Linked DNA regions of Diceros bicornis minor. The protein of the gene in region 4 interacts with the protein of the main gene of each other region in a pairwise test. Links are inferred from orthologs where the notes say so. Each region holds a gene or a part of one and is shown on either strand. Other genes may lie near its edges.

Evidence for each region.
Region 1: the proteins of UBQLN1 (region 4) and HK2 interact in binary tests that used the Homo sapiens proteins (3 or more experiments, as listed by UniProt). The two-hybrid records come from large-scale screens. The link is inferred for Diceros bicornis minor from reciprocal best matches to the Homo sapiens genes UBQLN1 and HK2.
Region 2: the proteins of UBQLN1 (region 4) and HSD17B12 interact in binary tests that used the Homo sapiens proteins (3 or more experiments, as listed by UniProt). The link is inferred for Diceros bicornis minor from reciprocal best matches to the Homo sapiens genes UBQLN1 and HSD17B12.
Region 3: the proteins of UBQLN1 (region 4) and TMCO6 interact in binary tests that used the Homo sapiens proteins (3 or more experiments, as listed by UniProt). The two-hybrid records come from large-scale screens. The link is inferred for Diceros bicornis minor from reciprocal best matches to the Homo sapiens genes UBQLN1 and TMCO6.

Annotation. Positions count from the first base shown.
Region 1 is NC_080751.1:14,204,578-14,211,703, forward strand, and holds the start of HK2 (hexokinase-2), read right to left. Parts: upstream 3,017-7,126; 5' UTR 2,580-3,016; coding exon 2,517-2,579; intron 1-2,516. UniProt on the Homo sapiens protein: Catalyzes the phosphorylation of hexose, such as D-glucose and D-fructose, to hexose 6-phosphate (D-glucose 6-phosphate and D-fructose 6-phosphate, respectively).
Region 2 is NC_080770.1:26,214,915-26,222,750, reverse strand, and holds the start of HSD17B12 (very-long-chain 3-oxoacyl-CoA reductase), read left to right. Parts: upstream 1-4,829; 5' UTR 4,830-4,911; coding exon 4,912-5,071; intron 5,072-7,836. UniProt on the Homo sapiens protein: Catalyzes the second of the four reactions of the long-chain fatty acids elongation cycle. This endoplasmic reticulum-bound enzymatic process, allows the addition of two carbons to the chain of long- and very long-chain fatty acids/VLCFAs per cycle.
Region 3 is NC_080740.1:58,879,892-58,886,845, reverse strand, and holds the start of TMCO6 (transmembrane and coiled-coil domain-containing protein 6), read right to left. Parts: upstream 3,019-6,954; 5' UTR 2,960-3,018; coding exon 2,875-2,959; intron 2,741-2,874; coding exon 2,628-2,740; intron 2,412-2,627; exon of another isoform or gene 1,189-2,411; coding exon of another isoform or gene 1,090-1,188; coding exon 974-1,089; intron 869-973; coding exon 685-868; intron 409-684; coding exon 304-408; intron 128-303; coding exon 42-127; intron 1-41.
Region 4 is NC_080761.1:10,137,889-10,145,403, forward strand, and holds the start of UBQLN1 (ubiquilin-1), read left to right. Parts: upstream 1-4,501; 5' UTR 4,502-4,511; coding exon 4,512-4,691; intron 4,692-7,515. UniProt on the Homo sapiens protein: Plays an important role in the regulation of different protein degradation mechanisms and pathways including ubiquitin-proteasome system (UPS), autophagy and endoplasmic reticulum-associated protein degradation (ERAD) pathway.

The DNA.
Region 1 (7,126 bases), on a different chromosome or scaffold from region 4:
CGTGTTTGCTCTTGCATTTCAAAATGTCAATCAGCAAAAGTGAGCAAATAACTCTTAGTCTCCTCCTAATGGCACAAAAAACTGGGCTTGTCCATCAGGAGACAAGGGACCCCGATAAGGCTAATTCTGGGCAGGTGAACCTAAGCTTCCCATGCCTCAGACTACAACCCAGAATATGTAAGAAGATGGGGATTTCAGAAGAGTCCAAATCAAGGCCTTTTCAAAAGACTCTAAAATTAAACTCAAGCTTCATCCTTCTCCTAATTCTTCCTTCTAGCAGCAACTTGGAAAGATGCTTCCAAAATATTCTCTCTGATTCTCTTCCTACTTCCTGTTGAATTGCAGGTGGAATCAAACAGCTTGCTCACCTAAGCCAGGAGGCTTAGTCCCAGGCTCTGACACCTGGCAAGTCAAAGGCCAGACTCAATTCTGCCTCTATTGGTAATTTAGAGGAAATACACCAAAGTGTCCCCCAGACACCTCACAGGCTGAAAGGTAGCTGCAAGAACAGAAGAGAAGCCTACAAGAAAGACGATTCCACATCTCTGTGCTTAATCATCACAAGACCACAAAGTGGACAAGGCCACTGATACCATTCCCATTTCACAAGAAGAAATCGGTGGTCCAGAGATAAAGTGACTTGCTCAGGGTCCTGTGGTTAATAAACCACAAAATAGAGATTAGAACTCATATCCAGATACCCTGGCTAGTTCTCTTTCCACTCTGGGACCAAAGCGATGACCCCCATTCCAGGCCAGGAGGGTGGTACACTCCACAATTCTGGTCCTAGCCTCCTTCCTCTGGATTGGGGGAGAGGAAATTTGTAAAGGGAATTAAAATGTCCTGGGGCGATATTCACCCAACTGAGAAGACCTCCCCTGGATTAATGACCCTCCAGCTTTGTATTTTAGGACTTGCCAAGAGATGAGTCTTCCCCAAGGGTTAACTCACTTGTTGGGCAGAGAAGCCCTAAGATGTTGCCAAGATCCTGCCGGCTCACAGACACGTTCTTAAATAAACTGAATTAAAGCGCAGAGCAGAGTCACATCCCAGGTATGAGTTAGAGAGTAACAGCCGTCTGTAAGCAGAGTAAAACTCAACTAAACCAGCCGCTCTCTGCTCCCTACTCCAGTCTGAGGCTGGGTAATGTCATGCTTTCTTTTGGGGTTCATCTGCCACGCCTCTGAAAACACCAAGATGGTAACTCACCCTCCTCTCCTTTGCTCTCAGGATCCCCAGAATGGGAGTACAAGCAGGTCGCCCCACCGAACGATAATGTCAAGACATTTTCCCAAAAATGTGGTCCCACTAAGACATAGAAATTTCAAGTATGTAATTGAGCAACGCTTGGTCATTGCCTCACGGCTCTAAACACCCTCACCCCCCCTCTCCACCCCCACCTCCCCCTCACAGCCCATTCCCTCTTCTCAAGTCCTAGCTGAGGCCCAGGGCCAGGAGCCAATCCTGAAATCCCAGGCATTTCTGAAACTCAATTCTCCCCGGAGTGAGAGCGCCTTGGGCCCAGCCCAGCCCCGCCCCCACCCCATACCCGGAGGCACCGAGAGCTGCGCTCCCGGCTGGGCCGGAGGCTCTTTCTTATGTAAATGAACTGGCCGGAGGGAGAGCTTGGGCTTGAGGGGCTGCTGAGAGCGCGGTGGGCACCGACAGGTCCGGGCCTAGGAAAGGAAAAAGCTGCTTTTGAACAAGAATCTCAAGGAAGACAGGAAAGTGTGTGTGTGTGGAGAAAGGAGGCGGAGGGTCCTCTCCGAATAACTTTTAGGAGCACCATTAGTAACCTCTGAAGTCCACCCCCGACTTGGAGGCTGGCCCCGGGGACTCAGGCGGGCCGTCCGGAGGCAGATCGGGGTAGGGGGGATCTACGCCCCTCGCGGAGCCTGAGTTCCGGACGCCTCAGTTCGGAGGAGGGGGCGCGGCGGGCGGAGTTCTGCCTCTGTCCCGGCTGCTTCCCAGGTCGGCTTCTCCCCAAGCCCACCTCCGCAAGGCGGTGAGGAACGCCAAGGGCAACCGCATGTCCCCAAAACGCAGTCCCTGAGTGCAGGAGGCTCCAGGCAGCCCCACGCGGCAGCGGAGCCTCCTCCCCCAGCCACGACTCTCCCCACGTGCTTTCGCCGGAACTCGGTCTGCGAAAGAGGGGTCCCTCCCACGTGGGCCCAGCAGCCTAAGACTACGTGCCGGGTGACCAGCCCCTCCAAAAACAAAAAAAAAGCGCGAGCGCGAGCAGACTGGCAGGGAGGGAGAGAGCCGCGCGGTGCGCGAGCCCCGGAGACTCGCACGCGCGCACACGCCGGCCGGTGCCTAGCGGACGTGGCTCCTCGCGCCCAGGAGTTTCCCGGCCGCCCTGACTTTTTCTGCGTCCTCGGCCCGGAATGGGGAAGGCGCGGCTCCTCGCAGGGTCAAGCAGGTGAGTCCCGGCCGGCCACGACCCCAGAGAGAGGGCCGGGGACCACGTATCTTTGTTAGAGGAAAGCCAGCCGCCCCCGACCGCGCTTACTTACCTTCTGCACTTGGTCATGGTTGAGCTCCGTGAAGAAGTAGGCGAGCAGATGCGAGGCGATCATCCTGCCGCGGCCGGACAGCAGCGAGTTGGGAAACTGAGGCTGGAGCGCGTGCGAGGGAGGAAGGCGGCGCGATCGGACCGCTTTTTACCCGGGTTTGGCGGCGGGGCCGGGAGCGGTGAGTTCGGGCGGAACACAAAAAAAGGCTAGCGGCGATGGCGCACCTGGCTGGAGGGTCTCGGGTCTCTAGAAACAGGTGTTGAGAGTCACGACTGCTAGATAGGCGCCCAAGAATCACTCCCGGCGACGTGTGGGGTTTTCCCACCGTCAAGGCGCTAACTTCAGCCACAGGATCACTAAGGCTCTGCTTGGGAAAAACTGCAGGCCCGCTCCACTAGGGCGATCAGACCTCTCCGGCTCACACGCGGGCTGCTTTCGCCCACAGATCTTCTCAGTTGGTGACACCGCGGTACTAGCAGTGGAAACTCCTGCGCTGGAGTTTCGTGCAACAATGTGGCTTATTGAAGGGCTGCCGGCTCGCGGGCCGCCCAGTCAGTGACGCGCACACGCCCATTGGCTGCGGGGGGAGGGTGTGTGCGGCCACGGGCCGCCCGCCGCCGCGGCGCAGCCAATCAGTGCGCACGGCCCGCGGGCGCGGCCGCTCCGACACCCGAGCCGGCAAGCTGGAGGGTAGCGCCCGGGGCGGGAGGCGGGGCCGGGCGGCAGGGATGGGACGTGTGGTCCGTGGCGAGAGGCTGGGGCGGAAAGGCGCATGAGCCAGCGCCGCGTCAGGCTAAGCTATGGGTGGGGGGCGCATGATCACAGACCTGGAGTGTGGGGCGACTGGAAAGACGGGTCACGGGACTAGCACACGCCCTGTGCGGGGAGAGAGACACCATCTGACATCTCGGGGTCATGTGAGGGGCCCCCACTGCCAGGTCACATTTCTGAACCACCTTAATTCTCACCTATTGTGGCTCCAGGCATTTGTGCAACGCTGTTGCAGAGTGAACCGCTGCAGCTGCTGCTTTATGTCAGGCATCGCAGAGCTGATAGGATGTCGGTTGCACTAACCTCGTTTTACAGATGAGGAAACTGAGGCACGGGGCCGTTAAGAGACTTACCCGAGGTCACACAGCTGCTAAGTGGCAGATGGAGGTAGGAACCCAGGTCCGTCTGACTTTGAGGCCCTATTCTTTTCCCTGTTATCCTATCCTGCTGCTCTAAGAACCGGGGAAGTAGGGGCAGGAAAGAAGCTTTGTCCGCAGCTGGGGGACAGATACGTTGGTGAAACTGGGTGGGTGACAAGTGTGTAACCGAATGATCCTGGACACGGGTGGGATGGAGTGGGGTGCTTTAGAGGAGTGGGAGCCCCAGCCACAGCTAATGCCTGGCACCAGACTCTGAATTTATATATATGGTGGAAGCTGGCAAGAAGCAAATACTGATACAGCACACATGAGATTAGTGCTTGTGGAGAGTACCAAGCCTGGGGTTGGAGAGGTCTCAGTGGAGGGAAGATGAAGGTCTGCCGTGTTCTACTGAGGAGTTTCTCCTTCTCCCATAAACAGTGGGGTGCTATCTGCAATGTGGTTTTTATTATTATTACACAAGTAATAAATGTTCATTGTTGGAAAATAAGAATATACAAACAGAAAAACAAAAACATCCATGATCCAGCCTCTCAGCAAAACTTCTTGAAAGCTATGTACCCTTGCCAACTACACCTTCTTACCCCTCCTTCCCTGAACTGCAGTCAGACTTGGGTCCCAAACTGCTTTTTTCATAATCACCATAATGACCTACATGTTGCCAAATCCTGTGTTCTCATCTCTTTTCTCCCCTTGCCTTACTCCGCCTCTCAGGGATGCACAATTGACCGCCTCCCCAATCTGGACAAGCTCCACCCTTCTGGTTTCACTCCAACCTCACTTTCCAGGCTCCTCAGCCCTGGTTTCTCTCCTGGTAAATGCTGGAGTATTCCAGGGCTGTCCTCCACCCTCTTCTCTGATCTAGTTCTGCTCTGTCCGTGGGTGATCCCTCCAAGCCCACGACTGTTATATCAGCCACATGGTGATGACTCACTAATGTAAAGCCATAGCGAGGACCTCTCCCGGAACTCCAGACTTATTTCTCCAACTACCATGTGTCATCTCCGTGAAGTGACTAGCATCTCACACTTAACATGTCCAAGGCTGAACTCAACTTTTCTTTCCAAATCTATTCTTTTCCCAGTTGTCTCAGCAAATGGCATCACCGTCCCCGCTAAGTCATCCTTGATTCCTTCCTGCCACTCACCAGTCAATCCATCAGTAAGCAGTGGATTTGGCCCACAAAATAGATCTTGTAATTGGCCACTTCTCTCCGTGTCCTTGGACACCTGCTAGCCAAACCACCACCAACTCAGCCAGAGCCAATGCCACATTGTCCTACCTGGCCCCCTGCTTCCATTCATGTGTACCTCCACCCTGAGCCCTATGGTCTCTTCTTCCCTCAGGGGTCAAAGTGACCTGTTTACAATATAAACCATTCTATGTCTTTCCCTGGCTCAAAGCCATTTAACAGCTTCCAATCTTAGAATAATATTCAAACTCCGTGACAATGACCACTCAGTCTTTAGATGATATGGCCGCTGCCTACCTCTCCACCCCATCACATACTGCTCTCCTCGGTACACTGCTTAACACTCGCTCTGGCATGTTTTCCTCAAAAATATCAAACTCTTTCCCACCCAAGGGCCTTTACTCTTCCTTTTTCTTCTGTTATAGTCTTCTCCAGAACTGTGTCCAGCTGACTCTTCCTTCTCATTGAGGTTTAGCTTAAATATCACTTCCTCAGAGGACTTTCCCCTGACCAGTTGATCTCAAGCAGTTCCCCAAGTCGTTATCACATGCCCTGAGTGATTTCCTATTGACTTTTCTGTATATTCTTTCTATCCTCACTAGAATGTGAGCTCAAGAGGGCAGGATCGCGGCTGGCCTGGTGGCACAAGCGGTTAAGTGCGTGCACTCTGCTTTGGCGGACTGGGGTTCTCAGGTTCCGATCCCAGGAGTGCACTGACGCACCGCTTGTCAAAGCCATGCTGTGGCAGCTTCCCATATAAAGTGGAGGAAGATGGGCAAAGATGTTAGCTCAGGGCCAACCTTCCTCAGCAACAAAAAAAAAAAAAAGAGGAAGATTGGCATCAGATGTTAGCTCAGGGCTGATCTTCCTCACAAAAAAAAAGAGAGGGCAGGATCTGTTGTTCCCCAATATCTGCAGGGGTTAGAACGGTGCCCGTCATGTGGTAGGCATGCAATAAATATATATTGGATAAATGATAGAAGAAATCTTACAGATAACCATTGTTCACATTTTGTATAACAATATACACACACACATACAGATAGAGACAGAGTTTATAGTTTTATATACTATTTCTCAAGTCTTTTCCCTCCTCTCTATCTATGCCAGTTCACACACCCAACATCTCTCACCTGATTGCACCTCCTCATAACTGGGCTTCCCTCTTTAGATATAGAACACTGTAGATATATAGGTTTAGATATCCAACATAGTTTCTTAGAGAATTAATATGATCAAATTTCCCTTTTTTTTTTTTTGAGAAAGATTAGCCCTGAGCTAACATCTGTTGCCAATCCTCCTCTTTTTTTGCTGAGGAAGATTGGCCCTGGGCTAACATCTGTGCCCATCTTCCTCTACTTTATATGGGATGCCACCACAGCATGGCTTTGATAAGTGGTGCATAGGTGCCCGGGATCTGAACCTGCGAACTTCGGGTCGCCGAAGCAGAGCACATGAACTTAACCGCTACGGCACCGGCCAGCCCCTCAAATTTACCTTTTTAGGGCAATAACTGCCCTCTGTGTAGATAGGGGGGAGGAGGTCAGAGGCCAAAGGCAGAAAGAGGCCGAAGCTGGATCAGGGCCTGAACCAAGGAGAGGGTGGGACAGGGAGCCAGGCTATGGGTTCAGATGTTTTAAAGGTGAGGTAGAATTGATGGCTTTGGCTAGGAGTGGGAGATGAAGAGGAGGATGCCTGCTGCCTAGAAATATTTGGAAACCCAATAGTCCACTGCTACAAAACCTGTTGGCCTCAGACAGGTGGGACCAAACCCAGTGGGTCATGTCAGCTATGATCCCTTCTCCACACACCACTTTTAGAGCCTCTTTTCCACTTCCTTCTCTGGTCCCATTTCATGTGGACCAGATAACAATCACAAGGCACTTTAAGTCCATGTTATCTCTTACAAAGCTCCCAATCCCAGGAGGTGGTTGGAGTAGGTACTGTTATAAGCCAGAATACACGACAAACTAAGTGTGGGTTACTCGTACAAGGCTGAGGCTTGTGTCTTCGATTTTTCTGGCTCCAGACTACATGCCTGGAGTTTATTATTTATTGATGCTCAGATCTCTCTCTCTCAATCTCTTGCCCTCTCCCTCTCCCTCCCTCTCTCTCTCTCTTTCACACACACTCGTGCGCGCACACACACACACAAATCTTGAAGAGTGATGAGACATCCATGTAATTTATGCTCCACAGCCCAAGAGAGAAATCAATCAGCAAATATTTATTAAACAAATCCTTACAAAGTTCAGGACAGTCTGCTC
Region 2 (7,836 bases), on a different chromosome or scaffold from region 4:
CCTGAGCTAGTTCTTGAGACACAATTTCAGAACCACATGTTTTTAGTTGAAATCCCAATTCTGCTATTTACTCTCTGTGTATCCATAGGAAAGTTACTTAAATGGTTTAAGCCTCAGTTTCCTCATCTGTAAAATGAGGATAAGAGTAGTACCTACCTCATTGAACACTTACTTTGTATCTGCCAATCTTTGCTAAATGCTTAAGTAACATTGTCCCACTTTAACAGATGTAGAATTTGCATGCTTAGTAGCTAAATCCACACACGATCATACAGCTAATAAGAGGTAGAATCGGGATCTGGTCCCAGATATACCTGACATCAAAGATCAAAGTTTTATAGCATTACTTGTTTGGAGAGCTATTAATGGTTTCATAGGTTTGGTTAGTATGGCTCTGCCAATCTCTGGGAATCCTGATCTATATGTTAAATTTTAGCACAGAATACTACTGAATAGGAGTAGACCATCATTATAGAGTCTTGTATGCATTCGAGTTTTTAGTGATTCATAAATTTTATCCAGAGACAAAAGATTGTTGTTCATTTCCAAAAGTGTGTAACCATCTGAATCCCAAAGGGCTTAACTCTGGCACATATCACTTCACTCTGTGAAACCACTATTTTTTCCTTTTAGTCAATAGAATAGTTAATATTCCTAAAAGGAGGCTGAGGTGATCAGAATAAATGTGTGCATTTTTAATAAAGGTTATTCCTGTTAATTGCATGGGTAATACCCAGACTTTATAAAAAAAGAATGGATACCAAAGTGAAATGGTTTCAATCTTCAAAGTTCCTTGAGTTAAAATAACATACTCAATATGAATTCTAACAGTAATGGAAAGTCCATTTCTATGGTACTTGTTCTTATTTATTTAAAAAATAGAAAATCAACAATTATTTTTTATTCCTATTTAATTTTATGTCAGATGCCGTGGTAGGTGCTAGAGGCACATACATGTATTCTTCAAAACCACAACAAAACTGTTAAAGGGTATTTCTTGCTCTCTCCTCTACACCACCCTACTCTTTGACAGATTAATTGCTGCTTATCCTAGCTCAAATGCTGCTTCCTTGGAAAGGGCTTTCAGGGCGGTCTCCTCTCCCCATCTAAATTAGGTCCTTCCTTTATCCTCTTTCCTTAAGCCCTATTCATTTCTTCTTTGTACTTACTACAGTTTTTACCGTATAATTAGTTGGATGTTTGCTTAATGTCTGTCTGTCCTGCTAGACTATTTTCATCTATTAATTCATTCAACAGGCATGTATTTATTGCATACCTACTAAATGTCAGGTACTCTTAGGTGCACGTGTTAGTTGAAGATACAATGGTGGACAAGAAAAGGTCACTGTCCTCATGAACTTACATTCTATTGGGAAGATGGACAAAAGCCAAAAAATAATTTGAAAGCATTTAGTGTTATAAGGAAAACAAATAAGGGTAAAAGAATAAGTAGCGACAGGGCAAAGGAGAGGAGGCTATTTGGGATATTTATGAAGGGTGGTCAGAGAAAACCACTCTAAGGAGGAGGATGTGTGAGCCAAAAAAACAAAACAAAACAAAACAAAACCCCTGATTAATAGAAAGGAGTGATTCTTGGGAAATAGAGAGTAAGAGGTTCCAGGGAGGAGGAACAGGAAGTAGAACTGCTCTGAGACTGGAATGAACTTGACTTATTTGAGGACCTCCAAGAAGTGTGGCTGGAATCAAGTGAGCACATGAGAGGGTCATTGATGCTGCTGGAGAGGTCAGGGCAGATAAACTAGTCTTGGAGGATTTTGTTCTTAATGTGATATAAAGTCTTTGAAGGGATTTGAGCAGAAGAAATGATATCCAATTTACTTGGAAAAAAAAATAACTCTAGTTGCTTCATGAAGAACAAACCCCAAGACAGGCTTCAGGGAGACCAGTTAGGAGACTATTGCCATATTCTGGGCAAGAAATGGCTGTGATTTGGATGAGCTTGTAGTAGCAGAAACGGGGAGAAGCAGTCAGTCAAGATCTATTTTGGAGGTAGAGGGAACAAGACTTGCTGAAGAATTGGATATGGGAACGTACTAGAAAGAAAAGAATCGAGGTTGACTCCCAGGTTTGTCTTAGAAAGGGGGTGAAGAGTGGCGCCTCGAACAGAGATGGGAAGAGGGGAAGAGAGGTATGTGTAGGCGGGGTGGGGGTAGAGTTCTCTTTTAAACATGTTAAATTTGAGATGTTCTTTTTATTTTACGTCTGAGTGGAGATGTTGATTGGCAGGTGGAGATATACATATTGTCAATGAATAAGAGGCATAAACTGTAAGAGAATCAAAAATGTTTACTTTGGGTCTTAAGAATTGCAATTCGGGAGACACAGATTTGAGTAGAAACTCAAATGTGCCCTGAGGAGAACAAAAGAGGCAAGAGTTTATAAAGGCAAAAAGAGATAAATTCTGGCCAAGTTACACAGATTGTTTTGCAAGATTTGTGACTGATGCTGGCAACGACTGTTACTTCTTGGCTATACGCGGTTGGTTGCTAAGGCCATCTCTAAGCCAGAAAGTTCTTATCTATGGGAGTGAGTATATTTCTTGGAAGACGGTCGGAATGATAATGGTGAAGCACAGGTCAAAAGTTTACATTCCACCTAGGTAGAGACGTGCATGAGCCCCACTTCCCTAATGGCTTCCCAGCTCCATCTTAGGTACCCTTGACATGTGTGACTCCATTTTGTAATCACTTTCCACTATATGCTTATATATATACCTCTGAGCAGAAGTTGAGCCTGGCCAGAAGTCATCAGCTTGCAGTTGATATATAAAACCAAGGAATTGGATAAAATCATGTAGGGAGACTGTGTAGAGAAGTAAAGAGAGCTGGGGTCTGAGCCCAAGGGCACTGCATCATTTAGAGCCCAGCAAGAGGAGGGGCCAGCAAAGGACTCTGGGAAAGAGCAGCTGGTGAGGAAAACAGTGGCTACCCATTGTTGAAGGATAGAGTAAGGACTAAGAATTGACCATTCCTATACCCCAGTACCTAGCTCAGTTACTGGTACATAATTAGACCACGATAATATTTGTTGAATGAATGAATCTTTACTTCTACTTATTTGTCAGACATTTATTGAATGTCCCTAGGTTCCAGGCACTATGCTAGGTCCTATGGATTCACAGCATAGTGTTCTCAATAACCATAAATTGTAGTGGGGGCTGTAGACATATATACAAATGCAACAAAATATGTATTTTTAGTTTAGGATAACTCTCTTCCCCTCCTCCCACTCTATTCTAAGGAGAATGGGACTGAATATCTGGAGGGCCCTTTGTCGGTGAGCAATGATGAGTTGGGATATATAAAGTTGGGGCGGTTCTGTAGGCAAAGATTTTGACAAGAGGAAGAGGCTGAGGAAGAGGAGTGGTGGGACTTCAGTTGAAACGGACAGACAACCCCAACCAAAGGTATCAATTTCAATTAAAAGCAAAATATGGTGCCAGCTCAACTCACATGGCTGAATTCTGTGGGAAAATGGACAGTTTATGAAGAATAGTAACAGCCTTAGAGTTATACCTAATTAATCTGATAAGAGAGTGGAGAATGAGTGGGGGATTGGGCAAGAAGGGAAAAGGCTTTTAAACCAAATGTTATAAAATTATGACTTGAGCTTTAAGATATGTTGAACTGTTGACCCTTAGAATTATTACCCTTAAGATCCTGCCTTTCAAAAAACTCTCAAGTCTTGATTCAGCAGCCCCTACTGGCTAAGAAAAAAATTGTCGGTATCTCATATGAGCCCAACTCCATGCCAGAAAAGGAAACAAAAACTCTTGATGGGAGGATGAAAGAATAAATGTGAAGCAATTTACTGCATTACACAATTTCTTAAACTTACTTTGTGAGAACTCCTCTGGAACTTTGCTGAGGTAGTTCTCATACCTCTCCTTGGACTTCACACTTTCGTGCGCCCTTGCAACTCCACAGCCCCGCCCCAACAAAAAACGGAACAAAAAAATGAAAAATCTCTCTTGTCCTTTAAGGCCCAGATGAAAGATGGACTCCCTTCCCCAAACTAATTGTTCATCAAGCTGTGTGCCTATAAATTTTTCATTCATCTCACAGCTCTTATGCCATTGTGTATGATAGTTATTTGAGTCCATGAAGTTATTGACCTTGAACTCCAAGACATTGGGATCTATGTTGTTTAATGCTCAGCGGTGGGGGGCGAGGGGGGGAGCGGGGGGCTGGCGTTTACAAGGCTCGCAATAAGTGAGCGTAACCAGAGCGAAAGTGTGCTGTGGCGAAGGCACAGAAACAGCAGCTGCAAACCTTTATCCGGAACAGTTTATGGAAACAATGACAGCATATTCAACAATGATATATATAGAAGTGTTTAATCAAGAGCTGGAAATAAAACCACAGCTCCACGCACAATTCTTACTACAATCCTCCCATTCATTAGCGGCTTCTCTGATCCCATTCCCTCTTCAAATCCGAGCTCAAACCAAGCTGGGTCTGGCTGGCCAATCGGAGCGCAGCCTCCGCAGTCGCGAGGACCGCTGCAGCCAATGAGAGGCCTGGGAAATTTGGTGCGGTGAGATTTGCCGCCCTCTGGCGGAATCTTGGGGGCGTGGTGACGCGTTGGGCGGGGCTGAAGCCTGATTGGCAGGTGAGCGATCAGCCGCCTCAGGACGGGGACGCCACCAGGGGCGTGGGAGGGTTCGTGGGCGGGGCAGTGAACCAGCCAATAGCTGACGCACTATGCGCAGAGGGAAAGATAGATCACCAATAGCGGCACGGATATGGCGTCGTGGGCGGGGTTTAGGCCCAAAACGGTGTAGGAGCTGCGCCTGTTAGTGTCGTCCTCACCGTCACGGTCGGCGCCTGTTCCTGGGTTCATTCATAGGTTTTGTTCATTCACGGAGCTAGTGAGGCCTGGTTGAAAGCCATGGAGAGCGCCATGCCTGCCGCCTGCTTCCTGTACTGGGTGGGCGCGGCCACCGTGGCCTACCTGGCCCTGCGCATCTCATGGTCGCTCTTCACGGCCCTCCGGGTCTGGGGTTTGGGTCACGAGGCGGGGGTCGGACCGGGGCTCGGTGAATGGGCAGGTGAGTCGGATCCAGGGCCGCCCGCCCCCTCGCTCCTGCTGCGGCTCGCGGGGCTCAGGGCCCGCTTGGGCCCAGCGCTTGGCCTTCCCTCCCCAGCTCCCCTCTCCTCCTTCCTGAGGCTCCTGCTCCCGCCTCCGTAGCCATCTTCTGGCTTGCTTAGACTTGCAGAGTTTTCAGATCCTAAATACACTGCTGGCCCAGCTCAGCGAATCTCAAGTGCCATGCGTGGGTGCAGGAGAAATCTGGCCTGAACTCCCTGGGGCTTGCGTTCTTTAAGCCATTCCGGTTTCAAGGCCCGGAGTCAGTCGCCCTGCTGCCTCCTCAGTCACACGCTACCCTTCTTGGCTTGCCCCTTACGAGTGCTTTTAAAGAACATTTTTCGCTTGCTTTGAGTACTGGCCTTGTGCTAGGGATGAAAAGCCTTCTGTGGGCTTTTGGGGTGAGGATGGAGGAAGCGGACTTGGAATTTCAGAAGTCTTTCTGCTCTTTGGAATCTTACCTCTCCAGTTACTTGAATTTGGGCTATTTCATATAATTTACAAAATCTTTTTTCTTCTTTTTTTAATCCTCGCGAAACTGTTTTGGAGTCCTAATGAGTAGCAAAAATTTGCTTCTGCAAAGCGGTAAATCATGTTAAAATCAGAAATACTTTTTGCAAAAGGACCTTTGTAGGAAAAAGTATTCCCACAAAGAGTGAGCTAAACGAATGGACCTTGGTCCAGTCGGAGGAAGATTTTAAAAATAGAGGACTAAGGTCGGATTGGAGAAGCTGGGGAAATGATCTGCAGGGGAGTTTTGCGCTTGCTTTTTTGCTGCTTCTGCCTTTTATGTTGCTTTTCTTTATTTTTCGTTCCTTTTACCTTTTTTTTTTGTTTTTTTAAACCGAGTGATATGCTGTGGTCGTTCTCTGTTGTGATTATTCATTATGATGTTTTATAATTGAATGTTTGCTGCACCAAACATTTTACTGAATTTTGGGATGGTTGGGGGTTGCTTTCAGACTAGGCTCAAGTAAGATAAACAGTGTTACTCCATATTCTTCACTTTATTCATTCAATAAACAACTTACTAGGAAAAACATAATAAATTAACCTTTTGGGACAGCAACATAAAGAGAAAACATCTCAGGTAGGAACGGATATGTGAGCTCTGTCCGTGATGTGGAGCAGCTATTAACATTATAATACTTATTTTTAAAAATCATTTCTTGTTTTTGGATATTCTTTGAAAAATCAAGTGAAGTGCTCAGCTTGATTATAGTCAGGATTATAATTTCACAATGGACTTGGCCGGGTTCTTGGTTGTCAGGTTTGGAAAGCTTCCTTGTGGACTTTTGAAATAGTTACACAAGACTTAGTGCCCTTGGCTATCATGTATCAAGACGAAGTTTTGTCATTTGTAAGGAAAGACAAATGTTAACTTTTTTTTTTTACTGTCTAAAATTGACCATAGTGGCTAATAATTCAGATGGTCCAAGTCATCTATATATGAGTCCATCGTAAAAGTCAAGAGATATGACATTGTCATTTCATAAGTAATATTTGTATTGAAAAGATTTGGTCCTAGAGGAAGGATCGTTGATAAATTAAGGGAAGTGTTTAAAAGATTTAGAAGTGAAATTTGAACTAGAACACTGGGATATAGCAGACAGGATCATGGTGTCATGAAGTGAACTATTGTCGAGTTCAGTTTACCCTGGATTGTTGGAAAATCTCTCTTTTCAAAGTCTGAGCAGAAGAAATGATTAAATTGTTATTTGTAGCATTACTCATATGTGGTGGCCTGGATATTACAGTATTTCCTTTATCTCTCCAAATTCAGGGAATCTTGGGAAAACAGATTGAGTAGTTTATCTTAAATAAGTTCTTTGTATCAGTTGGAGGGGTGAATTGAAATAATTTGAAAAACAAACCTGCAGAGATGATACTTGAATAATTAGTTGAATTGTGATTAAAAATAGGTAGATAATTTGTTCAACCAAAGTTATGATTTTAGAATTAATTTTGTATGTCAATAGTGCTGATAAGTTTTCTCTCCTACAAAATTGCTGTCATCTGAGTCTATTCCTGTGTAACCTTCTTGGAATGAATGCTAGTAGCAGGCATCAGGGAGGCGTTGCCTACAGATATTCCTCCACTTGTCATGGGGTTACAGTCCTGTTAAACCCAGTGTAAGTTGAAAATATCGTAAATCGAAAATGCACTTGATACACCTAACCTACCGAACGTCATAGCTTAGCCTAGCCCACCCTGAACGTGTGACATCAGCCTACTGTTGGGCAAAATCATCTAACACAAAGCCTATTTTATAATAAAGTGTTGAATATCTCATGTAATTTGTTGAATACTGTGCTGAAAGTGAAAAACAGAATGGGTGGATGGGTACAGAATGGTTGTGAGTGTATCGGTTGTTTATCCTCATGATTGGTGGCTGACTGAGAGCTAGGACTCGCTGACCCTGCGCAGTATCACAAGAGAGGATCATACCTCATATCGCAGCCCGGGAAAAGATCAAAATTCAAAATTTGATGTAGGGTTTCTACTGAATGCATATCGCAGCCCAGGAAAGGATCAAAATTCAAAATTTGAAGTAGGGTTTCTACTGAATGCATATCACTTTTGCACCATCCTAAAGTTGAAAAATCATAAGTAGAACCATCATAAGTCAGAGACTGTACTTTCTAGTACTAATGTGCGTTTAACATCTTCCTCTCCATAACCAATTAAATATTTTAAGTATTTTATAGTAATGTGTGTTGAGTTGAT
Region 3 (6,954 bases), on a different chromosome or scaffold from region 4:
GTCACCCCTGCCTGCATGTCTGGAGGCATAATTTCACTTACGGGATGATCTTCTCTGGAGCTTCCTTAGCCTGCAGAAGCTGGGACAAGGCATATCCAAGGGCTTCTAGCACAGTCAGATGGGGGGACTGGAAGTAGACAGGGTAGAGATCTGACTCTGGAAGCTGCGCCATAAAATTTCCTGAGCCTTTCAACCCCTCAGCCCAGGGCAGAGGCTGGAGCTGTCCAGCCAAAGCAGGTGGGGCATGTGGAAAGAAGTGAAGGGAGGGTTACCCGGAGAGCGAGAAAGGAGGTGGAGACTCACCTGGATGCAGGCAGCCAAGGCAGGAACAATGCCCTGTGGCAGGAGCTGCCTTCTCACAGCCTCACTCTCCACGATCAGGTTACCCAGTGTATACAGACAGAGCTCCTGAGAGCAGGACAACAAAAGCACTGGGCTTGGCCTTCTGGGGCCAGGGTGGGGGTGGGGGTGGGGGTAAGGGTGGGGGTGGGAGTGGGGAGGATGGAGCAGCCCTGTCCTTGAGGCTCTGGGCACAAGGGAGTGGGAGATGATGAGTGTATGTATGGCTGTGGGCATCAGGGGAAACAGGTTTTCTTCTTCTCCCTACCTGCCAGCTCAAACTGGACCCAAAAGCACAAGCTTTAAATCCAAGCCAAGAACAAGATAAGAAGGGACAGGGCTTACTATAAAGTCTGAGCTGTGACCGGAGAGGTAGGTGAGAAGGTAGGAAGTGGCTGGCAGGCAGGCCTCAGCCACCGCAGACTGCTCAGAATGAGAGAGCTCATGAAGGCACCGAGCCGCCTCAAGCTGCAGGAGAGCCTGGTTGCTGGTCAGGAGGCCGACCAGAGTCCGCATGCTTCCCTCCAGCCTACGTGAGTGAGCACCAGAGCCCTGCTCAGCCTGTGGCCCATCCTTTCCACACTCCTGTCCATCCTCAGAGCCCCAGCCACCCACTCACACCACCCACACTGACCAGATGAAGGTCTGCTGCGTCTCAGGGTGCTGCAAGCCTCGACGAAGGCTGACCAGAGCCCTCTCTCTCTCCTTTTCCTCTGTCCCCCGCTGGGCTAACCGCAGGAACTGCTGGATCTGGACCCCAGGGCACGGAGAGGAGAGATGGCAACACACAGTTGCCAAAAAGCAAGTCATAAGTCCTGCTCTGCCCACTTCACCTATGAGCCCTCCCATATCACACCATCCCTAGAACTTGTCACTCACACTATGGCTAATCAGCACCAACCTTGCAGTAGAGTGGACAAGTGGGAATCAGAACTGGGTTTAATACCAACCCTGCCACTTACTCTACAAGGGACCTAAACCTCAGTTTCTCACCTGAAAAATGGAAATAACATCTACCCCGCCTTCTTACAGAGTTGTTTCAAGGATAACCTCTCAGCATAACCCACCCCTCCAGCTATTCTCCCCATGCAACCTGCACTCCAACAACACCTAGCATAACATGACTTGTGTTGTAATGCTGCCAAGCTTTTGTACTATCTATTTCTTCTGCCTGGCATACCCTCCCCAGGTCCTCCACTTCCTTCAGAGCTCTACTCCTGTCACTGCCTCTGGGAAGTCAGCTCTTTCTGGCTTCCTCTGGCAGACTTAGAGCTTTCTATTGTGCTTCATGTTTCCTCTATGACAGGTGGTAGCACATCCGTCTCCTTCACTGGGCTGTGAACACTTCAAAGAAAGGGACTATTTTTTCATCTCTTCGTACCTCAGTACCCAGCACAGTGTTCTGGCATAACGTAAGCACACATGAATAAATGGTATAACCTAGGCGTCCTCTGTAAACGGTATATGTAAACATAGAAAATATAAGTACAGGGAATGCCCAATGCTTGCTGAATGAATAAACGAGCTAAAACCAATTATTTCATTCACTTATTCAATAAATTTTGAGCATCTACTATATGCCAAATGTTGTACAGGCATCTGAGTTTTCAGTGATGACAAATAAGATAGGGTCTAGGTTCCCATGATTTAAAGTCTAGTTGAAGAAACGATAATAAACAAGCAAACAATTAGTATCATTAATATTCTGCAAACAGGCTATCAAGACAGCATACCAAAAGGGACCCACATTAGATACAGAAAATCCAAAGGCCTTGAAGACAGGAAAGAGCTTGATATATTGTTCCAAGAACTGAAAAGGTGACAGTTTGGCTGAGATGAGCAAGCTTAGATAAAGTTGGAGGTAGGAAATGGTTAAACCATGCCGGACTTTATAGGTCACAGCAAGGATTTTGGTCTCTGTGTGTTATTAAGACACATCTGACTGACGTATGGAGAATAAATTTGAGAACGGCAAGCAGAGATGCAGATGACCTGTTAGGAGGCTGCTGTAAGTATCCAGAGAAGAGGGTGGTGGCAGCTGCGATGGCGAGGCAGGTAAAGACTCCAGAGCTCTTTAAGAGGTAAAATACGGATAGGACTTGATGATGTATTGATATGAGGATGAGGGGCGGAGTCGCCGAGGATGATGCCTCGTTTCTGGCTTGGCCCACTGGATGGATGGAGGTGTTGAACCGACCGCGTTCAGGTCTGGGGGCGGACCTCGGGTACCGGAGGAAGGAATCTGGCGCCAGCCGGCGTGGACCTCACCGCGCACCCTGCCCCCTCACCTCGGCTTCCCCGAGGATCATGGCCACACATCCCTCTTCGGCTTCCCCCGGGGCGTCGTCTCTCAGCAGCCTCTTGCTGATCAGCTGCTGCTCCCTCCGTGCCTTCCGCAGTACTGGGGGCCAAGGAGCCGACTGAGCGTGAGAGGGGCGCCCAGGACCCAGAACCCCGACTCCGATCCGAGGGCCTCATCACCCTATCTCTTCCCGCCATACCCTCATCCTCCCGTGCTCCTTCGCCCGCCCGCACCTGCCTCCCGCTCCCGCCGGCGGCGCCGTAGCTCCTCCAGGCCACAGCCCGCCGGCATGAGGCTGCCCCGCCGTCGGCTCCACATGGTGGAGCTGGAAGTCAGGAACGCGACCCCCGGGCGTGGAAGACCACACGGAGCGCGCAGCCGCAGCGCAGGGCGGAAGGGGAAGCGAGTAGGCGGGGCACGTCGAGAGGGGGTGGCGGGGCGGGGCGACGGGCGCAGCTAGGGGCTGGGGCGGGGCGAGGAGCAGGCGAAGGGAGCGTGGGGCGGACCGGGGAAGAGTAGAGACGAAGGGAGGGTTGAGTGGCGCTGGGCGAAGCCTAGAGGCGGGATGAGACCTGGGTGGAGAAGCAAGCGAAGGAGCGTCCCCCGCTCGGGCACTAATTGGTTTCTTTCTTGCCCAGTTCCAGCCAAGAAGGTGACTCAATCCCGACCCCTGCCGCCCAGGCCAGTAGCATCACCTTCCACTCAGCAAACGCAACCTCCCCACCCCTAACACCTCCTGGACAAACATTCAAAACTACACGGAGCATGGGGCTGGCCCCGTGGCTTAGTGGTTAAGTTCGCGCGCTCCGCTTTGGTGGCCCGAGGTTCGCAGGCCCAGAACCCTTGGCGCGGACTTATGCACCATTTATCAAGCCATACTGTGGCAGGCGTCCCACATAGAAAGTAGAGGAAGATGGGTAGGGATGTTAGCCCAGGGCCAATCTTCCTCAGCAAAAAGACCAGGATCGCAAGGGATGTTAATTAGGTCAGGGCTAATGTTCCTCACCAAAAAAAAAAAGAAAGGAAAAAAAAAAAAAACCTACCCCGAACTCTAAGAAGACACAGGATGCCTTTTCACCAGTAACGGCTCACACTAACGAGCGCTGGCTAAACACTGGACGTGCATTACCTTACTGACTGTTTGCCATGACCATTATCCCCATTTTATGGGTGAGAAAAATGAGACAAATATAGTAATTATTTCACTGTTCTCCATAAAAGTGAGTTGCATTATTTTTAGGATAAATTAATTCTTTCACCAAACTTTGAGCGCCACTAATCTACTAGTTACTAAGGAAACACTGGTGAGTTAAAAACCATGTTCTTCACCCTCAAAATCCGAATTGTGGCCTATTAAGCCCTACATGGTCTAATCCCTGCATACCTCTCCAGCCGCGACTGGAAAGGTGCCCCTCCATACTCATCTCTCCTGCGATCTTCTCTTTGCTACCTAAACAAGCCCGGCTCTTTTCCTCCTCCTGGCTTTTGCACAGGCCGTTACTCTGCCTAGAGCCCTGTCTCTGTCTGTCCCTCCACCCAACCAGCACCCTTTCCTTAATAAACACCATCCTCAAGATCTCAACTCCAGTGTCCCCTTCTCAGAACTACTGGACCAGTGTCCCTTTTATAAGAGCGTATAGCACCATATACTTCGCCTTCAAAACCCTTGTCACAGCTGTCATTATAGTGTAAGTGTTTGATGTTGTCTCCCCCCAAATCCCCTTCACAGCTCCAAGAGAGTAGAGTCCTGGTAGAGCTTAAGAATTTTTACTGGAGGGCCAGCCCCATGGCTTGGCGGTTGAGTGCACGCGCTCCGCTGCTGGCAGCCCGGGGTTCGGACCCTGGACTCGCAGCGATGCACCGCTTCTCTGGCCATGCTGAGACCGCGTCCCACGTGCAGCAACTGGAAGGATGTGCAACTATGATATACAACTATCCACTGGGGCTTTGGGGGAAAAAAATAAATAAAATTATTTAAAAAAAAAAGAATTTTTACTGGAGTCCTCTAATTTTTAGAAAGCTATTACGCAGGCAAATTCACAAGTACAAACAAATCCAGGAAAGGGAGTTGTTCTTCAAATCAACTTCCTTCCCTTGAATTTAATTCCACCGCTTGCAGGAAATCCGTGAAGTCTTTGATGTCTTCCACAAAACATCTAGTTAAATATCTGCAGACCATCATCCTGTCCTCCACATCTTCTCTCCAAGCCCAGCATCCAGCCAGCCCCTGGACAGCCATTTGTTGAGCACCTGCTGTGTACCATGCTCTGGCTGGGGATAGGGTCTGGGTCTTGTCCCTTTGCTCCTGGGACAGGCTGGCTTCTAACACCTACGTCTTTTTCCTGGTGGGGAAGGTAAGATAAATCCCTAGGCAAAATCTGTGTTCCTCCCAGAGTGTCTGCTTAGACAGTTATAGCTACCCAAACTGTTTTTTTTGCATTTATCTGCCTGGCAACACTGTCAACCGTGTAAGAAACAGCCCCATGACCTCTTTACTACATGGCTAGCTGTTCCTTTCTCTAGAGCTCCCGTAAGTCCTTGGTCTCTCCTTTGTAAGGGTCCTCTTCACTATGGACTGTAGTTCTGGATCTGTGTTTGCCTCCCCAACCTACTGGAGTACTTGAGGGACTGTGTGATGGTCATGTCTGCATTTTGGGGCTTTGCACTAGTCCTGGCACTTGGTCGACAAATGATGGATATTTGTTGAATCAAGGTGTGAATTGGAGATCTTTGCAGAGGCATTCTTGCCCTTCTTAGCCTGAACCCTTCATCCAGAGTGCCTCTCCTAGAGTGGTGGGATTTGCTGAGGAGCCAGGCTTCAGTGGCCTGAGTCTTCTGAATGCAGAGGCTCTGATGAAGAAGATAACAATCACTATCAATAAATGTGGCTCTGTGCCAAAGACTGTACTCATAGACAGGTACTACTATTATCTTCATTTTACAAAGCAGAAGCCCAGAAATCTGAGGCCCAGAAACTTGCCCAAGTCTCACAACCTCAGTAGTAGAGCTGGGATTTCAAGCGTGGCTGTCTCACTGCAGAGTGAGTGTATTTAACACTGACCTATAGTCACATCTTGGTCCTCAGGGATGTCCCAGTGACCTGGTCTGGCCTTGGGGCATGGCTCAGGATAGCAGGGCATTCTGAATAGGACACACAGAGGGCAGTGTGGTTTAATGAGGCCCCCTTGTTTGACATGAGGACAGCTGTGAAGTTACTTCTGGGAAATAGGGGAAGTGAGAATTCAAACATTTTTCTTTTTTTGCTAAAACATAATTTTATTTGTACTTTTTTTCCCTTTGGTGAGGAAGATCGGCCCTGAGCTAACATCCACTGCCAATCTTCCTCTTTTTGCTGAGGAAGATTGGCCCTGAGCTAACATCTGTGCCCATCTTCCTCTATTTTGTATATGGGTCACCAACACAGCATGATTTGATGAGCGGTGTGTAGGTCGGCGCCCAGGATCCAAACGCGCAAGCCCCAGGCCACGGAAGCAGAGGGTGCAAACTTAACCACTATGCCACAGGGCAAGCACCTCAAACGTTTTTCATGTAGCTCTTTCCCCAGAAACCCAGAGGTGCAGAACTGTGAGCACTGTTGTAAAAGCAAAACCCCTACCCCTCCGGGACACTTTTTTTCTTGGCAAAACATGTGAGTTACTCCTCACCTGAGGAGTTGAATGAGTTAATCCTCATTCAACACAGGGCTGGCCTTTCCTTCCTAGGACATAGGAATTGTGCTGGGGGGAGGGCAGGGGAGAGCTAGGTGCAAGTGGGAAAATTGTGGTAGAAGTACCCTGTTTCTCAATTTCAGGATGAGGACATTGAAACTGTAAGAGATCGAGCAACTTGGCCAATGTGTCTCTGTCAAACACTTCTACTTTTTTTTTTAATTGAGGTAAAATTGGTATATAACATTATATAAGCTTCAAGTGTACATCATTATAATTTGACATCCGTATACACTACAAAGTGATCACCAAAAAAAGTCTAGTTACCATCCATCACCATATACTTAACCCCCTTCTCTCATTTTGCCCACCCCGCAACTCCCTTCCCCTCTTGTAACCAGCAATCTGTTCTCTGTATCAATGAGTTTGTTTTTGTTTGGTTTGGTTTGGTTGCTCATTTTGTTTGTTTTTAGATTCCACATATGAGTGAAATCATATGGTATTTGTCTTTCTCCATCTGACTTATTTCATTTAGCGTAATACCCTCAAGGTCTGTTCATGTTGTTGCAAATGGCAAGATTTCATTCTTTTTATGGCTGAGTGGTATTCTATTGTATATATATATATACACCACATCTTTATCCA
Region 4 (7,515 bases):
ACCACAGGTGTATTCTTCAGAGAAGCTTGCGATATCGCCTTCACTTGTGCCACTGCTGGCCCTCTTGTTGCTTCTGTATGTTATGCAGTTCCTGGCACAGCTGCAGGTTCCTTCTCAGGAGCTTTTATTCAAAGGTTGTGGTGACTGGAGATGTATTTGCACACTCTACCCAGTGGTCTGAAATTTTAGTTGGCAAATTAATAAAGTAAACACCCCTCCTCACCACCATCTCTTCCCTAGCCCTAAGGCTTAGAAACTTGAACATCTTACCCTATTCCCTTTGTTTTGAAGTAGTCCTAGAGATATTTGTGGACTGTTCCTAGGCTGTGGACCACACTAAGATCAGTGCCCTAGCAGAGTTTCTGTTTCCCACTACTGCATCTTTCTCACGACGCTGCCCCTCTCAACACCCTTAACAAATCATATCCATTCCTCAAGGCCTGGCTCAAATCATTTCCCTCGAAATCCTTTTTGACTCTCCCGCTTTCCCCCACCCCAAGCAGGGAGCGAATAATGTTTCCTTCCTCTGAACCTATTGCAAAGCAAGTAAGTTTCAAAGTATGTGTGTTTGTATCTGTCTATAATCTATCTATATGTCACTATACTATAAACCTTGGGTGAGACAGGGGTGTAAAGTATGATCTACTGCTCTAAATGAATTTCCTCTCTAGTGGAAAACATGACAGTTCAACAATTCAGTTCAACAGTAAATGCTCTCATGCCAAGAAATTAGTTTGGGCACTGTGTGGTATATATGATGCTTAAGACTTGTTTTCAAGCACCTTGTCTAAAAAATGTCTAAAATATGCATACAATTAAGTGTAATACAAGGCAGAATGTGATAAGTGACACCAAAAAGGTAATAAAGCTATATGGGAATGTAGAGTATTTAGAGAATATTTCTGATCAAAAAAAAGCTTATCAGGGAAAAATTTTTAGGGAAAGTCACATTTCAGGTGATGTTTGAAGGATGGGGAAAAACAACAATGGAGTCAGAATGAGGGGGAAGAATTTCTACTTGCAGTGAGAATGTTGTGTTGAAGGCTTGAGGCGGGAAAGCACAAGACAAGCCTGGAGAACTTAGTGGACTTGTTTGCTTGAGGGTAAGATATGAGTGATGAGCAAGGTTTTGTTGTCACAGAGGGCCCTGGATGCCATGCCAAAAAGTTTAGACATTATTCTAAAACTTTGGTGAGAGCTACTGAAAATTTTCTAGGTGTCATGATCAAAGCTTAGTTCTAGGATAACATATGGCATCAACAGAAAATAGTTTTGAGGATGAGACGTTAGACTGAGACAGAGGAATCTGCAGGTTATTGCTGGAATGAAGGCCAGAGTTAATGAGGGTATGAACTAGACTGGTAGCAGGAGAAATAGTTTTAGGTAATGGAAGCAATATTACAAGTGACAAATAGTCAAGTGAAGCATACAAATAATTATGCCAAAGGTCAGAGAAAAAAAATGATTCTGTAGGCTTGGGTGCTCAAGAAAGGTTTTAGAGAGGAGGTAGCAATAACAGGCACAACGTGGGGAGTGTAATGACTTGAAGGAATGATCAGAGGTGAGAAAAGTATAATGTACAAGTTCTTCTATAGATGGTAATAAACATGCTTGCCTGTAATGGAGTTTATCCATAGAGAGTAATGAGAGTGCAGCGTGAAAGACAGACCAGGAGTTAGTTTGGCAGGCCTTGAAATCCTAGTTAAGAAGCTTGGGTTTTATCTTCCAGACAGTGGAAGCTTATGATGAATTTAAAGTACGAGAGTAAAATGATGATGCATGTTATTTACACCACTTCTTTGACATGACATATGTACTACCTTGTGTTGAAGTTATATAAGTTCCTGGACATAGGATTAAACTTTGCTCAATAAATTCTTGTTTATTGAGAATTAACTCATTCTGTCAAGGAAGTATTCTTCTACTATGTGAATAATAACCTTGTATACTTTAAGTTTGAATATTGGGACCTATAAAAAGGGACCTATCCAGTTAGAGCTGCCTCATATTGGCTCATGAAACTGACTGGTGAAATTTCAGGTTATTTTGTGAGCCAGTTGACCTCAAGTTGGTAGCTTGAGATTGGCTATTTAGCAAGTATTTATATCAAGGAACTTGGCAAATGCTATAAATTGGCTTGTTTTCTGGAGAGTTGGTTATTAAACATTTACCAGCACCTCACTGCTTATCTTCCCCTCCCTCTCTCTCCCCAACCTCCATCCAACTAGCCACTAAGTTTTTTGAGGGCAGAGACTGAGTCTTATTTGTCTTTGTTATCCTCAACAATATTTGGACATTAATTGTCCTCACTTAATGTTTGTAGAATTAAATAAATAAGCTCTTGTAATTTTTTTTCAGACTGACCATTTAATAAACAAAAATCATTCAGAAGAAAATGCCTCAAATAGACATCTAGACTCTGTGGGCCACATCAGATCCTATGCCTGTTGTTGTAAGTTGTTTTATTGGAAAACAGCCTCACTTATTCATGTATGTATTGTCTATGGTTGCTCTGTGCTACAAGGGCAGAGCTGAGGATTTGAGACAGAGAATGTATGGCCACAAAGCATAACATATTTACTATCCAGTCTTCCCTGAAAGACTGCTGATCCCTGATCTAGACCCCCACCTCCAATGTTTCCTTAAAAAGTAGGATTATTTCTAAAAAGTGCCATAACAAATAACTAACTATACTGTATATTCTCACAGATAATTTCATAATTTGTGCATACACATAAGAATTTTTTAGAAATTAATGTAGACACAGATAATTACACTTTTATAAGTGCAGGATTAGAGATAAATGATTGGTTGTCCAATGGTGGAACTTTCTACCTTGAGAAGTAACGATTACCCCACATCTAGACATAAACAAGAAGACATCCTTCAGCAGAGAGCCTTGTGTAATTTCTTCATGTTACTGAACAATGCTGCGAGAAATTTAGCTGCTGTCTGATGATGTCTATGTATGTATTTGAACTTATACTTTCAGAACTTCTCTTACACCCAGATTCCAAAGGGGATCTGCTAAAAAGTAGTCTTAATGCAAGAGTATTTATTCCCACAACAGAGTTGGACATTTTAAAAACAAATACAGAGCGTATCTTTGCATATTTGGGTTATAGTTAGCTGTCAGAGTTTACATTTGCGCAATACTGATTAATAAAGTTAATGTTCTGGGTTGTATATTCCTTGCAAGTCATCTTTAAAGGCAAATGATGACGTCATTTCAAATTTAGAATTCTCAGGGAGAAATTAACTTCCTGTTTCTTATTTGTACCCATATTACAGGGAAAATAGTTTTTGAACAACTATCTTGAACAGCACCTGAAGTGTGAAATGGCGCAGTAACTTAACCGGATAGAAGAATATAAAATGAACACCTCAGCTACATTAAACTGTTCCAGTGGGGCGGGCACTCCTTGGGCACCGTTTCCGTCCCAAACATTCTGGGGGATAGTGTTCACAGACAACTCGGGGATGCTCGCGCACGGCTGTCGGCGCGGGAGCGGAGTCCACTGTCGACACAGGTGTTCTGATCACCTGACCGAACCTGGCTGACCCAAGGGCGGAAGCCCTGGCCAAGAAGCAATGACTCCGCGGGATTGCGCAGGGTGGCTACAGGCATCTACTCCATTTTCCTTTCGTTATGATGAGGATCTTTCCCTCATTAATAACTCCCGCACCCCAGGCAATACGATCAAGCATTTTAAGTCTTCCAAGTAGGCAAAAATGAACCGTATTAAAATAGCAACAACAGAACAGCTCGCAGGCATTTACTACCCAGCCTCCTCCCAGCAGGGTACGCGACGCACGAAGGGGCGCTGCGGAGACGAAGACACGAGCACGGCCACCGCGGTGCCTAAGGTGACGGGGTGGGGAAACTTCCTGGACCACCAGCGCGCAGGCGCATCCCCGGCCGCAGCGCCCAGTGGTCGAGCCTTCTTTCTAGTAATTTCGCTAGCCGTGACGTCATCCCCGTGCGCCATTATAGTGCCTCCTAGAACCCGCGAATTTATTTTTGTAGTGAGAGGGGTGAAAAAAAATGAACTGACTTTTGCCGCTCCAGCTGGCTTTTAGTCCTTCTCTCTGAACGCGCCCAGACTTTGAGCAATGCAGCGGGAAAGGCCAAGAACAGCATCCGTGGCTCGAAGCGACGCCCGCCGAATATGACTCGGCGACGCCGCCCGCCGCCTTACCCGGCGTGCTCCGCGCGGCGCCGGCGGAGGGACGTGGGGGGAGGGGCGGGAGGAGGAAGCGGCGGCTGCGGATGTCGCTGCGACCAAGCGGCGTCTGAACACACGGCGGCTGCCGAGCGCCCGACCCGGGCCTGCGCCGGAGCCCACACCGACTCCGCGGCCCCTTGCCCGCCAGGGTGGCCCCGCGCCCGTTGCCATTGCGGCGGCGTGCGCCGCATTCTCCGCTGCCCGGGCCGGTCGGCTCTGGCGTCTCCTGGCTCTCCCTCGCTCGCCTGCTCCCTCCTGCGCGCCTGAGTCACTGCCGCCGCCGCCATGGCCGAGAAGAGTGAAAGCGGCGGCCCTCCGAGCTCCCAGGACGGCGCCGCCGCGGCCGAGGGTGCCGGCGCCCCCGCGGCCGCTGCCTCTGCGGAGCCCAAGATCATGAAAGTCACCGTGAAGACCCCGAAGGAGAAGGAGGAGTTCGCTGTGCCCGAGAACAGCTCCGTCCAGCAGGTGCGGGCCGCCCTGGGCTCAGGCTGCGGTGGGGTGGGGATGGCGGCGGGACCTCCGCCCCCGGCAGGCGAAGGCGTTTTAGAAGGGCTTGGGAGGGGGTGTCCCCGGAGGTGCCCTCGGCCTTTCTCCGGGGTTTATCCCAAATGAGATCACACCCAAGTTCGTGGGTTTGCTTCTTGCGACACCGCAGAGGTTTGTGGCGGGGCCGCGCGGCCTGTTTGTGGGACGCGCCGACGCCGCGCCGTCCGCGCCTCCCTCCTGCTTCGGAGACCCCCGGCCCCCTCCCCGGCTCCCCGCCCCCAGCGCCTCCCTCTTGCTCCTCACAAAGGAAGGGACCCTCCGCCGGCTCCGGGCGGGGTGGAGGCGTGGAGGCTGGGCTGGGGCGAGGGTTCGCTTTAGCCTAGTCTGCGGTTTTGTCTCGTGAATTAAAAAAAAAAAAAAAAAAGCGGGGGATGGGGTGCTCATTGTTTTACCTTGCCGCGGGTTAAGGTAGATTTTGGGGTGAGGAGCACGTGTACATTTAGATATGCGTTTTGACTGCTAAAATCTTTCCCACTTTCCAATTTTTAGAAATAAAATTATGACGTAGAAACTGGTTTCAGCCACATCTTAAGTAATAGTACTAGGCCTGAGGAGAAAGGTGGATGACTTTCATTGATGACTTGCTGTTTCCGTTTTACTATATTTGTCATCCCTCAGATGCCAGTCATTGGGGAGGTTTTTGTTTAACTTGAGACGGATGATAGCTATGTTATTCAGATAATAGCGGTTGCAATCCAATAAGAGAGAACAAAAGTGGAATTAGTGGAGAATATTACAAATAATTTACTATTTAAAATCTGTTGAGGAATACAAATTTTGCAGTTAACTAAGAATCTTGAAGAATTCAAATTGTTTTAGCTTATTCCTGAATATACATCCCAGGATATTTTCCATAATAATTGAGTTGATCTCTGATGATCTCAATGTGAAGTTTATCAGGAAACGGCAGTTCCCGAAATCGACCTTTGTTTCCCAGAGATAGTAAATGATTAGGGCCTGGTGTATATAGTTCGGAAAGGTGGTGTGTTTTGTGAAGCAGTAAGTAGTGCGTAGCATCAAGTGAGAGAAACTTTTACCAGCCAGGGAATCACATTTTTTTGTCTGTCAATTTTCCTGTAAAAATTTTCCTTAACGTTTTTGTATTTTCCAACATACAAGAAAGTTGAAAGAATTGTACAGTGAACACCTGTATGTCCATCACCTACAATTAACATTTTGCTTTATTTGCTTTGTCACACAGCTAATCGTTTATCAGTCCTTTTTATTTTTTGGATGCATTTCAAAGTAAGTTGTAAATATCGGTACATGTTACCTTTAAGAGCACTTCAGCAATGTGTCCGTCATTAAACTGAGTGCAATTTTTTTTTTTTAGGTAAATTTGACATGCAATGAAATGCACATGGTTGCCATTCCATGAAATTTCACAAATACATATACATCTCTGCAATCCAAAGCCTTATCAAGATGTATAACTTCATAATTGACTGGAAAGTTCCCTCTTGCTTTTTCTCAATCAGTTCAGTTGCTCTCCCCTCCATCAACCACTGTTGTGATTTTTTTCGCCATGGATTAGTTTTGGGTATTCCAAAACTTCATATAAGTGGGATTATATGCTATGTACTCTTTGGGGTAAGGCTCTTTACTCAGCATAACGTTTTTGAGATTCATTCTTGTTGTGTATATCAGTAGTTCTTTTTTATTGTTGTGCTGTCTTCCATTGTGTGAATATACCATAATTTATCCATTTGTCTGTTGAGGGTCACCTGGGCTGTTTCCAGTTAGTTGGCTGTGAACACTCTTGTACAGATCTTTTGTTGGACAAAAGCTTTTCTCTCTCATGTTAAATACTTAGAAGTGGAATGACTGGGTTTTAGGATAGCTAGTTGTAGGTTTCATTTTGTAAGAAATTTTTAAAGGGACTTGTACCGTTTTGCAGCCCCATCTGTAGGTTTAGTTTTATAAGAAACTATATTTTTAAAGAGTGCTTGTACCATTTTGCAATTCTACTGACAGTGCGTGGGAGTTCCTGTTGCTCCACATCCCTGCTAACATTTAATAGTGTCAGTCTTTCATTTTAGCTCTAGTAGTGGGTGTGTAGCCATATTAACTTTTGAAGTCCTTGGATCTTCTTTCTAAGATTCCTAGTTCAGGCCTCCACTATCCTGGCTGCTTTCAGCATTTTACTGTAAAAGATTAGAAAGAGTCAGTGTTTTATAAGTAGGAAAATTCACTTAGGTCATTTTATGATGTTATATCTGTGAGGATTTTTAGTTTTTGTGATGGTGAAATTAGAATTTTAAATTTTGTGGAAGTTTTAATTTTATTGCTCTGTAACCAAAGTAAAATTTTGATAAGATAAAATTAAAGCTTTTCTGAAGCAACTTTTTCTGATGGCAGTTGAATTTTTATTTTGTTAAATGCTTTCTGTTGAAGCGGAAAACATGATGAAAATTGAAGCTCACCATTTGCATTAAGAACCTGAAGACGAATTATCTATGAGGTCTAAGGGAAGTACATAGAGGAAAATGTGCAAGAATAAGAAAAGCAGTTTTCAGATGATTTGTAAAATTCTACAGGAAGCACAAAAGGATCTGTCATTTTGTAATTTAAATTTTTCTTAAAGAGTTTGATAGATTTAAACTATTTGCTACAGATTAAAATTTGTCATTAAAATATACTTAATGACATTGATTCCACTAAAAATGTTCAGGAAAAAATTGGGAAGTATTTAGTCCTAAAAATTCTTATCTAATCTTAGAGGTAAAGAGGGGGTAAGCAAGAG